2 linked regions of the Notamacropus eugenii genome follow. The protein of the gene in region 1 binds, or shares a complex with, the protein of each later gene. Links are inferred from orthologs where the notes say so. Each region holds a gene or a part of one and is shown in the gene's direction. Other genes may lie near its edges.

Evidence for each region. Proteins that work in one complex are often made in the same cells at the same time.
Region 2: the proteins of RBSN (region 1) and RAB4A are in contact, whole or in part, in a crystal structure (PDB 1Z0K), measured with the Homo sapiens proteins. The link is inferred for Notamacropus eugenii from reciprocal best matches to the Homo sapiens genes RBSN and RAB4A. Residues at the interface, in NP_001289307.1 of Homo sapiens: Glu441, Gly442, Trp443, Leu444, Pro445, Ser447, Glu454, Pro458, Leu459, Gln461, Gln462, Asn465, Ile466, Phe469, Asp480, Glu481, Thr484, Leu485, Asn488, Leu492, Glu495, Gln499; in NP_004569.2 of Homo sapiens: Tyr10, Leu30, His31, Ile34, Glu35, Ile46, Gly47, Val48, Glu49, Phe50, Gly51, Ser52, Lys53, Lys63, Gln65, Trp67, Arg74, Phe75, Ser77, Val78, Ser81, Tyr82.

What each region holds. Positions count from the first base shown.
Region 1 is NC_092874.1:431,153,468-431,160,656, reverse strand, and holds the start of RBSN (rabenosyn-5), read left to right. Parts: upstream 1-3,944; 5' UTR 3,945-4,093; exon of another isoform or gene 4,094-4,176; intron 4,177-4,960; 5' UTR 4,961-5,116; coding exon 5,117-5,264; intron 5,265-7,189. UniProt on the Homo sapiens protein: Rab4/Rab5 effector protein acting in early endocytic membrane fusion and membrane trafficking of recycling endosomes. Required for endosome fusion either homotypically or with clathrin coated vesicles.
Region 2 is NC_092873.1:388,919,316-388,927,234, reverse strand, and holds the start of RAB4A (ras-related protein Rab-4A), read left to right. Parts: upstream 1-4,718; 5' UTR 4,719-5,065; coding exon 5,066-5,096; intron 5,097-7,919. UniProt on the Homo sapiens protein: The small GTPases Rab are key regulators of intracellular membrane trafficking, from the formation of transport vesicles to their fusion with membranes.

The sequences.
Region 1 (7,189 bases):
TTTATAACTATATAACTACCTATAATATATAACTATATACCTATATACCTGTATATATAACTATAGATTTATAGAAACCATAGAACAAATATAACCATATAACTACAAAACTATGAATAACTATATACCTAAATATGCCCGTATATTTACATAACTATGGAGCTACATAACTATATATAACCAAATAAGGACTACTATATAACTATATAGGACTATATGTAATTAAATATCTATACATAATTACATAATTAGGTAACTATATAACCACTGCTATATAATTATATATACATAGGGTCAGCTGGGTGGCACCGTGGAGAGAGCACTAGACTTTGGAGTCAGGAAAACTCCTCTTCATGAGTTCAAATCTGGCCTGAGACACTCACGAGCTGTGTGACCCTGGGCAAGTCATTTAACCCTGTTTGCTTCAGTTTCCTTGCCTGTATAATGACCTGAAAAAGGAAAAGGCAAACCACTCCAGTATCTCCACCAAGAAAACCCCAAATGGGGGTCATGAAGAGGTGGAACTGACTGAACAATTAACTGCATACACCTATATGTAGGACTATAGATAATTATATGACTACACCTGAAAATATATCTAACTATACATATCTATAGAGCTATCTACAATGACATAACTACATATATATATGTATATATATATATATATGCTTGTATACCTACATAACTATAACTACAATGACATGGACTAGATTTATATATAACTCATTGGTTGTTCTCCTTCATTCTTGGAGGACCAAAATGACATCACTGTGATAAAGTCAAGTTTCAATATGTCCGACTGTGGCTGATCAGACCAATACAAGCTCAGAATACCCTACCACACATTGGGCACAGATAATCTGTGTGAACATTTGGAGTGTCTACTCCAAATTTGTGAGTCCTATGTTTCCTTTGTGCTGTTTCAATTCCTGTGCCCGTGTCTCACATGTGGCACACTCAAATCCAAAGTTCTTGACAGAGACCTTGAGGGTGTCCTTGTGTCGTTGCTTCTGGCCACCATGTGATCACCTGCCCCATGCAAGTTCTCCATAAAATAGTCTTTCTGGCAAGCGTACGTTTTGCATTCAAACAACATGGTCAGACCATTGGAGTTGCGCTCTCTGAAGCATAGTTTGAATGCTTGGCACTTTAATTTGAGCAAGGACCTCAGTGTCTGGTACCTTATCTTGACAGGTGATCTTCAGAACCTTCCTAAGATAGTCCAAATGGAAGCAATTCAGTTTTCTGTCATGGCGCTGGTAGATTGTCCATGTTTCACAGGCATACAACAATGAGGTCAGCACAACAGCTCTGTAGACCTTCAGTTTGGTAGTCAGTCTAATACCTCTTCTCTCCCTTAGTTTTCTTTGGAGACCCCCAAACACTGAGCCAGCTCTGGCAATGTTCATGTCAATCTCATTGTCAATGTGTACATCCCTGGAAAGTACACTACCAAGGTAAGTGAACTTATCCACAGCCTTCAAAACTTCTTTATTTGTTGTAACCAATGGTTCTACAAATGGATGGTGTGGTGGTGGCTGATGGAGCACCTGTGTTTTCTTGGTGTTAATTATTAGGCCAAAATTAGCACAGGCAGTATAGAATTAATCCATACTTTGTTGTACGTCAGCTTCAGAGACTACATTGAATGCACAGTCATCTGCAAACAGAAAATCATGCACCAACACTCTCTCCACTTTGGTCTTGGCTTGTAGCCTTTTCAAATGGAAGAACTTATCATCAGTATGGTAGTTGACCTTGATGTCGTGTTGATCCCCACTGAAAGCATCTCACAACATGGCTGAAAACATCATGCTAAAAAGCATGGGAACAACTACACAGTCCTGTCACTCCTTTGGTGACTGCGAAGGCACAAGAGCATTGTCCACTATCCAGAATCCGGGCAAACATGCTATCATGAAATTGATGTGCAATACTGATGAACTTCTCTGGGCAACCAAATTTTGACATAATTTTCCACGAGCCCTCATGACTAACAGTGTCAAAGACCTTGGTCAGATCTATAAATGTTGTATATAGACCTCTGTTCTGCTCCTGGCATTTGTCCTGGAGTTGTTGGCCAGCAAACACCATGTCAACTGTTCCTCAGCCCTTTCTGAAGTCACACTCTCAGGTAGATGACCATCTTCCAGGTGAAAGATCAGCCTATTAAGAAGGCGTTAGCAAGAACTTTGCCAGCAACGACTAAGAGAGAGATCTCGCTGTAATTGTCGCAGGACAATCTATTTCCTTTTCCTTTATAGAGATGGACAATGGAGGCATCCTTGAACTCCTGGGGAATAACCTCCTCTTGCCATATAACCTGGAAAATTTCAGTCAGTTTTTGTATGAGCAATGGTGTCCCTACCTTGTAAATGTCAATTGGAATAGAATCAGCATTAGGTGCCTTGCCACATGAAAGGAGCCTAATGGCTCTCAAAACCTCTTCTTCAGTTGGAAGTTCAACTAAGGAGGGATTGACTTCAACCTGAGGCAAAGGGTCAATGGCCTCATCATTGACTGATGATGGTCTGTTGAGAACACTAAGGAAGTGTTCAGTCCATCTCTCTACGATCATGTCCTTATCACTAATCAATGTGGCTCCATCAGCACTGAGTAGTTGTGATGCACCATAGGTTTTTGGTCCATAGATAGCTTTCAGGGAATCATAAAAGCACTTTGGATTGTTACTATCAGCATAAAATTGAATTTAATCTGCCTTCCTACTGAGCCAGGAATCCTGCATCTCTCTAAGCTTTGCTTGTACTTTACTTTTGATGAAATTAAATGCTGCCTTCTTATAGCTGGATGAACTATCCTGCTGGTAAATCCTATGGAGTTCTCGTTTTTCGTTTAGCAGCTTCTGAATTTCCTCATTATTTTCGTCAAACCAGTCTTGGTGTTTGTGAATATTCTGACCCAGAAGAGCAAATGCAGTGCTGTACACCAAATCTCTGAAAGCTGCCCACTCCTTTTCTGCTCCACTGTTGCCAACTATGTGTGGCTCAACTTTCCCTCCAAGTTAGCAACAAACTGTTCACGCTCAGAGAACTCTAATTTGTTGACACTAATTCTTCTGGTAGTCATTTTTCCTTGGGGTCAGCGGTTTTGATGAATGTGAATATTTGGCTTGGAAAGGATAAGTCTATGATCAGTCCAGCACTCTGCACCACACATTGCCTTTGTCACTCTCACATCTTGTCTGTCTCTTCTCCTTACAATCACACAGTCTATTAGATGCCAGTATCTGCCGCAAGGGCGCATCCATGAAGTTTTATTGGTTTAGGTAAAGGGAAGACAGTATTGGGGATGAGGTCATGTGATGCACAAGTCTTCAGCAGCCAACGACCATTGCTGCTGCTGTTCCCAGCTCCATTCCTCGCTAGGACTCCCTGCCAAGTCTGATACATGTATACGTACATACATATACACACACATACACACATGTCCTACAACTATTACAACTGTACATCCGTATAACTCCTTGTAACTGTAACCCTCTCTAGGTATGCTTATTTACTTACATGACTAGAAGTACAGCGGCATGACCATATAGGACTGTTGTGATGTCTACATAACCGCCCCCTATATACAATTGCAGAATGACATAGAGAACCTTATATAATTAGGATATGACTCTATAACCTAGATGTAATCAATGAACTACACAAGGAGAACCCATGCCCACTTAATTACAGATGCCTGTGTGTGTAGATCTCTAACAGGAGCGGGGCGGGGGGGCTGTCTTTTGCTCTGCCTTGCCCCTGGGGGGCGGGGCCGGCGGCGACCACAAGCCTGGTCTCCCTCTTCCCCGCCCTCTTCCTTCCCCACGCCTCGTCTCCAATTCTCCCGCGGCGCCTGCGCAGAGGCTCAGCTCACGCAGACACTAGCTTCGCTCCCTCCCTGCCTGGGGTGGCTCGATAACTCGGTGCTCGATGAATGCGTCCCTGCCCTGCCTGCCGCGCAGGCTCTCTTGCCGAGGGCCGAGGGCATGGATGCGTGATGGCCGCCCGGGCCCAGTGAGGGGAGAGAGGCGGAGGAGGGGCGAGCCCCCGGCCCCGTGGGCGGCACTGGTCGCAGGCCTGCAGCGGTACTGAGTGCGCCCCTTCCTTCCGCCCCGCATCGCATCGCGGGCCGTTCGGGGAGGGAGGAGGGACCCGCGGGGGGCGGGAGGTGAGGCTGGAGGGGGGGAGGGGAGCTCTGGGAGGAGAAAGGGGAGGGGGCGTGTCGGCGCGGGGGTGTGTGTGTGTGGGGGGGAGGGTATTTATTGTGTGTGTGTGTGTGGGGGGGGGGGGGGGTCCGTCAGTCACCCCTCATTCAGCGCTGCAGCCTTCCCTGGGCGGATCCTGGGGAGGGGGTGGAGGTCCCTCGGGGACCTCCGTGGGAGAATGGGGGGCCCCCCCTTGGCCGAGGTCCGGGGGTGCTTCGCCTCCAGCCTCGCGGCCGTGGGCCTAGCCCGCCCCGGTCCGAGGGGTCTGAGGCCGGCCGGGGCAGACTCCGGGCCCCCGGAGGCAGAAGGGGCTCCCCGGGCCCGCCGCGCTTCCCCGAGCGCTCGGGGTGCGGGGTGCGGGTGCGGGGTGCAGGCTTAAGCGCGCTTTTATCTTTCCAAGTTCCAGGTGCTTTAAGAATGTGTTTCTTACTGAAAAAGCCTTCCTCTTATTTATTTGGGTGGGGTCAAGTCCACACCAGGGGTTCTCAAAAGTGGGGTCTGCTGGGGGCCCCCAAAACCTTTGGGACTTGGAGGCCAAAACGACTTTGGCGACAGTGCCGAGACTTGTAAATGTCCAGTTACAGTAACTGTCGGTGCAGAGCACGCCCAAATCAAAGCTCTTGGGGGGGGGGGGGGGTCCTTGGGGCACAGTGGGAGGCCGTGCCCGTGGTGGAGCTTGCCCCGAGTTCAGATGCAGCCCAGGTGTCCGGCCCCCTCTCACCTGGCTTTCTTCCCGTTTATTTGCAGGATTCCTTCTGTGGCTGACCAGAAACCCCCCCCGGGGGGCCATGCCCTTCCCCAGCCTCTGCCTTGTGTAAGCCGGCCCCGGGCGAGCTGCGCTGCTGAGAGGCCGGCTCCCTCCTGGACATGCAGTGACCTGTCCTCTGGAAGTGCCAGGCCACCATGGCCTCTCTGGATGACCCTGGCGAGGTCAGGGAGGGCTTCCTGTGCCCTCTGTGCCTCAAGGACCTGCAGTCTTTTTACCAGCTCCAGTCCCATTATGAGGAAGAGCACTCCAGCGAGGACAGGGATGTCAGAGGGCAGATAAAAAGTAAGAGGCCTGCCCGCTGGGTGCACTGGGCTGCGGGGCACTGCGCAGACAGGCTGCCTGGAGAGTGGAATCCCTCGGCCACTTTCCTGATGTTTTCATCAGTGACAGCTCGCACGCAAGAGGAAATGAGATGATAGTTTTACACTAAGAGTCTGGATAGGGTAATGATGGGGTTTGGGGGAAAGATAGGGTGGTGATGGGAATGCAGAAAAGGCAGATATATTCCTGAGCGGAACATAGGCAGCGTGGCACAAGGGATAGGAAACTGGCTAGGAGACTGGGCTTCAGATATCCAAAACAGAGAAGTATTAGGTAGGGTCATGAAGCACAACTGGACCAGACAGAATTGCTGGGAGAAGAAAAAAAGGCTTTGAAAATATGATCAGTAACATCCTTCATGTGGCAGTTTTGGTTTAGGGCCCCTAATGCTGGTTTACAACGTGCATCTCTCTGCTCTACAAAGAAGTATGTAGTGATGTGTGGATGCTAGCAGTTTTTATACTTTATACAGCAGGTACTTCTGTAATATTCATTCACTGGTCAGTGATGGTGTGAATGGGGCCTAGGGTTTTATATTAGACTGCTAGTAAGATTTATTCTCACAGTATCACCTGTCTGCTTCCTAGTGTCATTTTTGTAAAATTTACTCAGAACATCCTAGTATTTTTTTGGGAATGTTAGGCAAAAAAAGAAAAAAAAACCTCTTAGACAGTTTCATTTATACTCTGCCCACCCCTCCCCCCCAAAAAAGTTTGTTTATGTCTACAATGTATTTCAGGTGATTTATTTAAAATAGATGAAATGAGACATTGTTCCTTTTAAAGGAACTCTGAGAATTCTTAAAATGTCCTCCATTTTTCCCATTTTGGGGTTTTTAATTTTATGTAGTTAAAAAGTTAATTTGTGAAGTCCCCTAGAGGTCCCAGGGAATCTTTTATAGGATGGAGAGGATGACCTTTGTATTGACCTAAGTTGACAAATGTTCCAGTCTTAGAAGCTAACAATAACATTTTGAAAATATGACACCAAAGATTAATGAAAAGCCTTGTCAGAGTATACCGCATTTCTCCCTTATATCATAGCCTTCATGGTGCTAGCTTAAGGAGGCTAGCTTAATAACAGATATTGAACTGAAAAGAGCTAATTTTGGATTTGGGACATCTGGAGTTTATGGAAAAGTTATGTGGCTAATATCAGTTGTTAGTTAAGAAAACATCCTTGCTGTATGGATCTTTGGGTTTTGATTTATTACCATGGACCTACTTATCATCAGAATGATAATTTTACTTAAATAGGGGAAGGTGTGGTTGAGAGTTGAGATTGGCCTCTCAGTTATTTCAGAAAAGATTATTTAAAAATAAAGACAGAATTATTCCTAATTAGTTTCCTGATGAAGGACCACACCCATTTTGAGAAGTTTGCCAGGAAGTACTTTAGTGACACTCAATAGAAGTTAAGTGGTGCAGTCTTTCTAAAGTGGCGCCCTCTAGCTGAGTTTGCAATGTGCATTAATATTTCCAATTTTCTGCCTGGCAAATTTCTGTTCATTTCATCCTATAACCTTTACTCCATTATTAGTAAGGATGACTTCAATACTTTTAAAACAGCTTTTTTTCCACCTGCTTGAAAAAATACTGTAGAGTAACTGCCTGATTAGCATCACTACATCAGCAAAGAAGTTTCCATGCCGTTATCAGTCATATCTGCTTTACCAGCCAATCAGTTCATAGCTGCCTTTACCCAGGCTTCAGAAATTCCAGTGTTTTGCTGAATGTTTTCTTGTAAAGCATCTAGGACATCAGATGTTGCTCCTGAAACACTTTATTACTGGGATGACTATTTTAATCCTATCATTTTATTTTAAAATTAACATTGAAGTAAGTATAAATTATAATCACCAAGAGGAAGTTGCTTTTAAATAAAGC
Region 2 (7,919 bases), on another chromosome or scaffold:
ATAGATCTGGGAATGAACTGTATAGAGATAATGATTAAATCCATGGGAGCTGATGAGCTCACTAAGTGTATAAAGCAAGGTTCTTAATTTGTGTGTGTCTCATAGACCCTTTTGGCAGTATGTTGAAGCCTATGGATGCCTTCTCAGAATAATGTTTTTTAAATGTGCAAAACAGAATACATAAGATAACCAACAAAACTAATTTTATTGAAATATAGTTATCAAAAAAAATTTTAAACAAATTCATGAACCCCAGGTTAATAACCCCTGATACAGAGGGAAAAGAAAAGAGAGCTCAAAATAGAGCCTTGGGGGACAACCACCATTAATGGATATGGCCTGAATAAAGAGCTAGCATAGGACACCAAAGAGTGATCTGACAGGTAAAAGTAGCATCTCAAAAATGTAGAAAAAACAGAGAGGTCAAGAAGGATGAGGACTAAGAAAAGGCCATTTGACTTGGCAAATAGCATCACTTGGAGAAAGAGCAGTTTCAGTTCATTCCAGTGCCTATCCTCTGTTAATTATTTCCTATTTATCCTTTATGTAGCTCATTTGTATGTGTAAGCTTGTCTCTCCAATTGAATTGTGAGCTCCTTGAGGACAGGGACCATCTTTTACCTTTCTTTTCATTTTCAGTGCTTAGCACCATGCTTGGCACAGAGCACACATTTAAAAACGCTTATTGACTGACTTGGATGATGAGGTTAGAAGCCAGACTTCAGAGGATTTAGAAGACAGTGAGAAAGAACATGGAAATAACTAGTATAGACACCTTTCTCATGTAGTTTACATGCAAAGAGAGGAAAGGCATAGGACAATAGATAGCCAGGATGATAGATGGTTGTTTTCTTTTAAAGGGTGGGAGAGATATGAGCAGGCTAACACAATGCAAACAAGAAGTTAGAAAAGAGAACCAGACTAAAGGATGTCCAAAGAAAAAAAATAGTCTGGTCACTTGGCAACAATAATAGATGACTGATGGGTAGCCATGTGTTCCAAGGGTATCTCCATGATGGCAAGAGAAATCAAAGAATTAGATGGACCCACTGGGCTAAAATTATGGGAGGACATGGACAAGATTCACAGGATAGGCAGACATGGATCAGTTGTGATCAGGATCATTGCAGAGAATACCCACATTGATGACACAAACACATACAAGTATTTAATCACAGTTGTGATCCTTATCATTCTTAGTTAGAGACCTTAAGCTCTCAACTATATTCCCTCCCCTTACACACACACACACACACACACACACACGGAAACCAAGCTGTTTCCTATCAAAGACCCACAAGTGCTATTTTTCATACCCATGAATTTCATACTGCCACCAGCTGACTGATGGGTCAACCCTGACAACTATATTATAAGGTATTAGAATGGCCTCTTTAAGGACAGGGACTATGTCTTAACTTTCTCTGTATGCTCAGCCCTTAACACAGTGCTTGGCATATAGGAAGCATGCAATAAATGCTGTGCAGCCTGCCTTAAAGCACCATATAAACATTAGTTATCATCAGCTGCTTACACTCCTCTCCCTTCTATGTTTGTCTCTCGGACTTTGGATAAAGATAGTATTCACACCTGAAAGACTATGGTGATCAGCTAGTCTAACTCCCTTATTTTACAGATGAAGAAAGTGATAGAGCTTATAAGGCTTGCCTTAAGACAAAACCAGGCTTCAAATCCACATCTTCTATCTAAAACCTATTCCACTTTTCACTATACTATGCCAAATCCCTAATCTAACTTCCCCAATCCAACTGATAAACTTTAAGCAACTACTGTGTGCTGGATTCTAATCCAGAAGCATCCACCCATTGCTACCAGTTCACCCCAGGTTAATTGCTGAGGCATCACAACCTTCTCACATCTTTTATCTACTACTACTTGTGACTGCCTAGACAAGTAACTCTCTTATCACTGCTTCCTCACTCTCTAAATTGCCAACTTTTTCAAGATTCCCCATCTAATAAATGATATCTTTCCTAAGTGTAAAAGGGCTAAGATTTTTCCTAATACAGTATCTAATTCATATTCACAGTGACATCGTGTAAACAGCAAATAAATACCTTGTTGCTGTTTATCCTTTGTTTTCTAAGAGGACCACTGACATCACGGACTCATGAACTGGACTGAAGTGAGGCAGAGATGCGCCAAGTCAGGCTCACTCTCTACCTGAGTCATCAAAGTCCAGTGGCAGAACAAAAGTCAGGATGACTGGTGATGGTCCAGGATGCAGTGGATCACCTTGGCATCTTCGATATCTGACCAAGCTCTAAGTGCTTCACAGTGTCTGCTTCAAACTGCCTTCATGGCAGTTGGAACAAATTGTTCTTACTCTCCCATTCCACATACTTGGAGTAGATATCTCCTAATTCACCAGTGGATTTGAACATGGTTGGAGTAGACATCTCCTAATTCGCTGATGGATTTGAGGCTACCCCTGATCTGGTTTAGCCCTTCTGCCTACATGGTTTTACTGTAGTATAGCCTCTATGCATGCTACAGCTTCTTGGAGCCAGTAAATGTCTATTCTATGCTGAAAAATACAGGAACTTGACTCTTATTTCTTGATTTTTAGATACTTCATATTTACCTATCAACTTATATTTGGGCATATTTTAAATTGTAAATACTTTGAGAAGGGATAATGGACTTACTTCATCTTGTTTTGGTAAACACTAAACAAATATCATCTTATAGTGGTGATGATGACAAAGAAAAAATTGTCAGATGTTTTGTGGGGATAATTCTTGTTATCAGTCTGATTTCTTGTAATAGGATTCCAAGGATTTAATTGTCTTATCTATACAGATGATTCCCATATCTATAAAGCCAGCCCTAATCTCTCTCCTAAGAGAGATGGTGGTCCCACATTACCATACTCATAATATCCAAAGCAGAACTTATTATCTTTCCCTCTAAACTTATTCCTTCTTCTAATTTTTCCTATATCTATCAAAGGCACCACCATCCTTCCAGTCATCCAAGTTTGAGGTATAATGTGTGCTACTGAGCATGTGCAAGTTGATGAGGCTCCTAATTAATTAGCTGAGAAAAAGCTGAGCATAATGCTTCAGATCAGCAAAAGGGAATTTTTGAATTGGTTCCAATCACTTTTGAAGAGGAGAAACTCCATGGAGGAGAAGGAGAAAGTTTTTGGGCTAGCAGACATAGGCGGGAAGCCAGCCCCATGCATTTCTCTGGACTTGCTTAACATTCTAGGGATAGATAGAATGAACGTTTTTTGGGTGAGATTATTCTTACTTCCCTAGTCTAAGCTGAGTTTCCTAGCTGAAAAACTTATTCACTCTTATGTATTTTTTGCCATATTTTAGTCTATATAACTTCTCCGATTTCTATTTGCTATTTACTTGGATAAATGGATTTACTCACCATTTGCTATTTGTGCCAGTCTTTTGTGCAATGAGTATTTGGTGAGAAACTGGAGAATACAAGCTAAGGGTTACAATCTCCCTTAAGAGCAACCATGAAATTGACTTTCCTTTTAAACTCATATACCTGATATTTGAGAGGGTAGCAGATAAAGATGATTCTAGCCTGATACCTCTCTTGGAGACTAGAGGAGAAATTGACCAGCTGTCTCAGACCTTGCCTGTTCCTTTCTCCAGCTAGCTTTGGGGCAGTGCAGGCAGGGCCTTCTGCAGCCCACAGATCACATCAATGCATACCTATGAGCACCTCTGCATTTAGGCCACCTGCATGGGAACCTACATTAACCAACAAACTTGAATAGCTCCCTAAATATGCCTTGAAAGCTCTTCACAACTTAGCCTCAACCTAACTTTCTAGCTTTCCTTACTTACACTGTGGCCTCTACCTCATCCAAGAAGCAAACTGGACAGTCTTTGTACACTACATATCACCCTACTTTTGCACTTGCTGGAAAGCATTCCCTCTTTAATGCTACTTCTTGGAATTCCTTGCTTCTTTCATGACTCAGTTTAAGTACCACCTTCTACAAGAGGTTTTTCTGGATCCACCTCCCCATCCGTTAGATCCTTCTCCACCAACATAATTTTCTATCTATATATTGTTAACATAACTGTATATGAACGTGTCGCTTCTCCCCTCCCCCCATCCTGGATAGGGGCTGTTTTCACTGTTATCTTTTAATTCCCAATGCACAGCACAGTGCCTGGCACACTGTGGACAATCGATACGTGTACGTGAAGTACAGCTGCATGGCTACCAGGGCAGCAGAGTAAAGACCAGAACGTGCAAACACTTTGTTGAGAGAGTCAACGTAAAACACGCGGGACGCAGAGTGGAGCAAGGCAGGGTCCTGCCCACGTCTCGCCTTCACACAAACCTCCTCCTCACCTGCGCACCTTTCCCAGGAGGAGCCTCGCCATCCTTCCTAGCAGGGTATTCTGCCCCTGTCAGTCACCCACCTAGGGAAGGGTCACTCCCCCTCAGGACTCCATCTCTGACCTCGGGCACTCGGAACTTCCGCCCGGGGCGTGTACCATGCGCCGCCCCTCCCTCCCTTTCCCCGAGTCTCCTGTAGACGGTCGGCCCCGGATGGAGTTTCGCGCACGTGCTCTTTGTTTTGGTGATCCAGGGCTTTCGCGGGCCGCCCCCAGGCCCTCCCGCGCCCAGTGCGCAGGCGCGAGAGAGGCTGGGCGGTCGGGCTCCCCCGGCTCGCGGTCTCCGAGTACTACCTTCCCTCCACCCCTCCTCTCCTCCTCCCCGCCCCAGCCAGGCCCCGCCCCTCCCCGATCTCTCTAGGGGTGGGAGGGAGGGGAGGGAAGAGAGGGAGGTGGGTGGGCGGTGTGCGCCTGCGCGGAACCCCGCGGTCCGGTCCTGAGCAGGAGCGGCTCCGGGGTGGCTGGCGGTTGCCGTGGGGACCCGGCCGCGCCCCTCCTTCCCCGCCCACCCCACTCCACCCCACCAATTCCTCGGACTCCCCAGCCCCGGTCAGACCTCGCTCTCGCCACTGACCTCCCGCTCCTGCCCTCTCCCTCACCCCCCACCCCCCGGCCCCCGAGCTGCAGCCGGAGACCGGGGGAAGAGGCGGCGCCCGCTTCCCAAGATGTCGCAGACGGCCATGTCCGAGACCTACGGTACGGGGAGGCCGAGGGAGCGGGGGGCGCATTCCCGGCGGAGCCGGGGCCTCCGCGTCGTTGGGACGTTAACGGCCGCCACGGGGACCGTCCCCCCCGGGCCGGAGCGGCGCTGCCGCGGGGGGAAGGTGGGGAGGTGGCGGCGCGCCCGGGCCTGGGGCCGGGGCCGTCCGAGGGACCCCTCCCCGGAGCTCCTGGCGTCGTGGGGGGCGGGGGAGGCCCGACCGCGAGAAGGCGAGAGACTGGGCGCGCGGGTGCAAGAAGGGGTGGCTGTCCTGGGGTTTGCACCCCCGGATTCCCCTGATGTGGAGTTCTTAAGTTTATCTCTAGTTTTGCTCCCGGGCTCGTGGCTCCCCCGGGTGTGGAAAGCCAGTCTAACCTCTGCTGGTCCTATTGGTGCCCCCAGCGGGGCACCTGAGTGGGGGGGGGCGTCCTGGGGCCCCAGGCTATTCTAGAATGAATCTACCCCCCCCCCCCCCAGTTTTGTGTACTCCTCCCGTCATCGCCCTCCACGTGCAGAGCCTTTCCCTACATAAACTGTGATCAGTGTCTCCAAGTCTCTTTCGCATCTTGAAGGAATTGATCTCTTTGATTAGCCACCTGTTCAGGTAGACCGTCGCACTTTGGGATTTGGATTTTTGGATGATGTTCAACAGTAGAGAATTTGCCATTGTCAGATAGTCTAGGGGAGACCTGTTCTGCAACCACTTTATAGGATTATAGGGTCGTCTGGGTACTGGGCTGGCACATTCACCAGTTACCGAATTGCTTTTAGTTCGCTGTATAATGTTCGACTCTTAGAAGGCGGAGGAAGAATTCCTGCTTATATCCGGTAGTTACTTTGCCCTATATTAGTTTCTGGTGCTGTTAGAGGTTGTGATTGAGTGATCCAACTCCTGTCTGGATAACAGGCTGGTGGTAGATTCCACAAGTAAGCTTTTTTTTTTTTTTTTTGCCAACTAACATGGATTGGTTCTGTAATTCTTAGCACCCTCTTCCCACCTTCTCGGTGGAACTACAAGACTGAGAAGCACTCTGATATTTTTATGTTTCGTCGTGGATCACAAGATTTAGAACTGGGAAGAACCTAACAGGTCATCTACAACAGCCCCCCCCCCCCCTTTTTTTTTTTTTTTTTACAGAAAAGGGAGCTGAAGCCAAGAGAAGTTAAATAAATTGCCCAGGTTCACACATGTACTAAACCTCAGAGGTGGTATGTGAGCTGAGGTACTCTGTGGTTTTTCATTACACTTTGTAGTCAATCAAAAATATTTTCTTCTTAAAGAGGCCAGCCTCCTAATGATAGCTAAATTAGTTCTTAGCAGACCCAGAGGAAGGCATTCACTACATTGGAGAGATCCTCTATGCAGAATTTACAGAAAGACTTGGACAAGAATTGCACAAGATGAGAAGGTGTAGGTTGCATTCTTAAATGAATGAGATCTTAGATCTTTTAAAATAGTCTTAATTTACTTACCTTTAATTCTAAGTACTACATTTTTATTGAATTGAGTCAAAGGGTATTAGGAGTAGGAGAGTCGAAGTGAAATGATAATGTAAATTATGAATGATTTAGTGAAGCAAAGATGGAGAAAGAAGGGAGGTTCCAAAGGAAATACAGGGATTATTTTTGTTCTTACGTAAAAATTGAGTACAGTACTTCAAATATAACTAAATCTCTTCCTTTACTCCTGTCATGTTTAATTGAATTTAGATGTAATATTTGCTATTTAAATTATGTACAAATCCATCATTTCATATTCATATTTTCCTTATCTACTATCACCCTTATAATCTATAATTTACTTTTCCTGTTTGCTTTTTTACATTAGAAAATGAGTTTTGAAAGGGAAAATAAGGTGGTTGAAAATGTCATCTAGAAAATAGCAAGTAAAAAATGTTTAAGTTCCTGCCTTAATATTGCCATTAATGGCATAATATTAGGCAAAGAAAATAAAACAGGATTTTTTTTTTCCTGGGAAGTTATCATCAAAAAATTATAGGGTCATAGATCTAGGGCTAGAAGGAACTTTGGCAATGAATTTCCATCCTTTTATTTTACAGATGAAGAAATTGAGAGCCAGAGGAAGCTAAGTGATTTGCTTCAGGTTACTAGAGGTTGTAAGCATGAGAAGTACTTACTAGAATTTGTTAAGTGCATACTCTGTGCCAAGTAATGTGCTAAATTCTGTAGATATAAGAAAGGTAAAAAAAACAGTTCCCGCTCTCAAGGAGCTCATAGTCTAATGAGGAAGACAACATACAAACAACTCTGTATAAACAAGGTATATACAGGATAAGTTGCCAATATTCTCATAAGGAAGGTACTTAAGTAGGACTTGGGAAGGCTTCTGGAAGAAGCCAGGGAACCCGGGAGGTAGAGTCGAGGAGGAAGAAAGCTTCTGAACACTGGGGACAGCCAGTGAAAGCACTCAGTGAAAGACTTTATTGAATGGGAGTGGGGAAAGTGATATGGACAGACCTGTAGTATAGGAAGATTATCAGTTTGCCAGCTGAATGGTGGTAGTTTGGAGTGGGGAGAGACTTGAAGCAGGGAGAACAATCAGCAACTATTGCAATAGCCCAGGCATGAGATGATGAAGGCCTATTTCAGGATGGTGACAGTGTCAGAGAATAGACCAGGGTATATATATGAGAGATGTTAGGAACATAGAATGGACAGATCTTGGGAATTGATTGTGTTGGGGGGGGGGGCAGTTTGAGAGAGAATGCAAAATTAAGGGTAGTATATTAGCTTGTGAACCTGGATGATGGTGGTGCCATCACCAGTAATAGGGAAGTTACGGAAGAAGGATACATTTG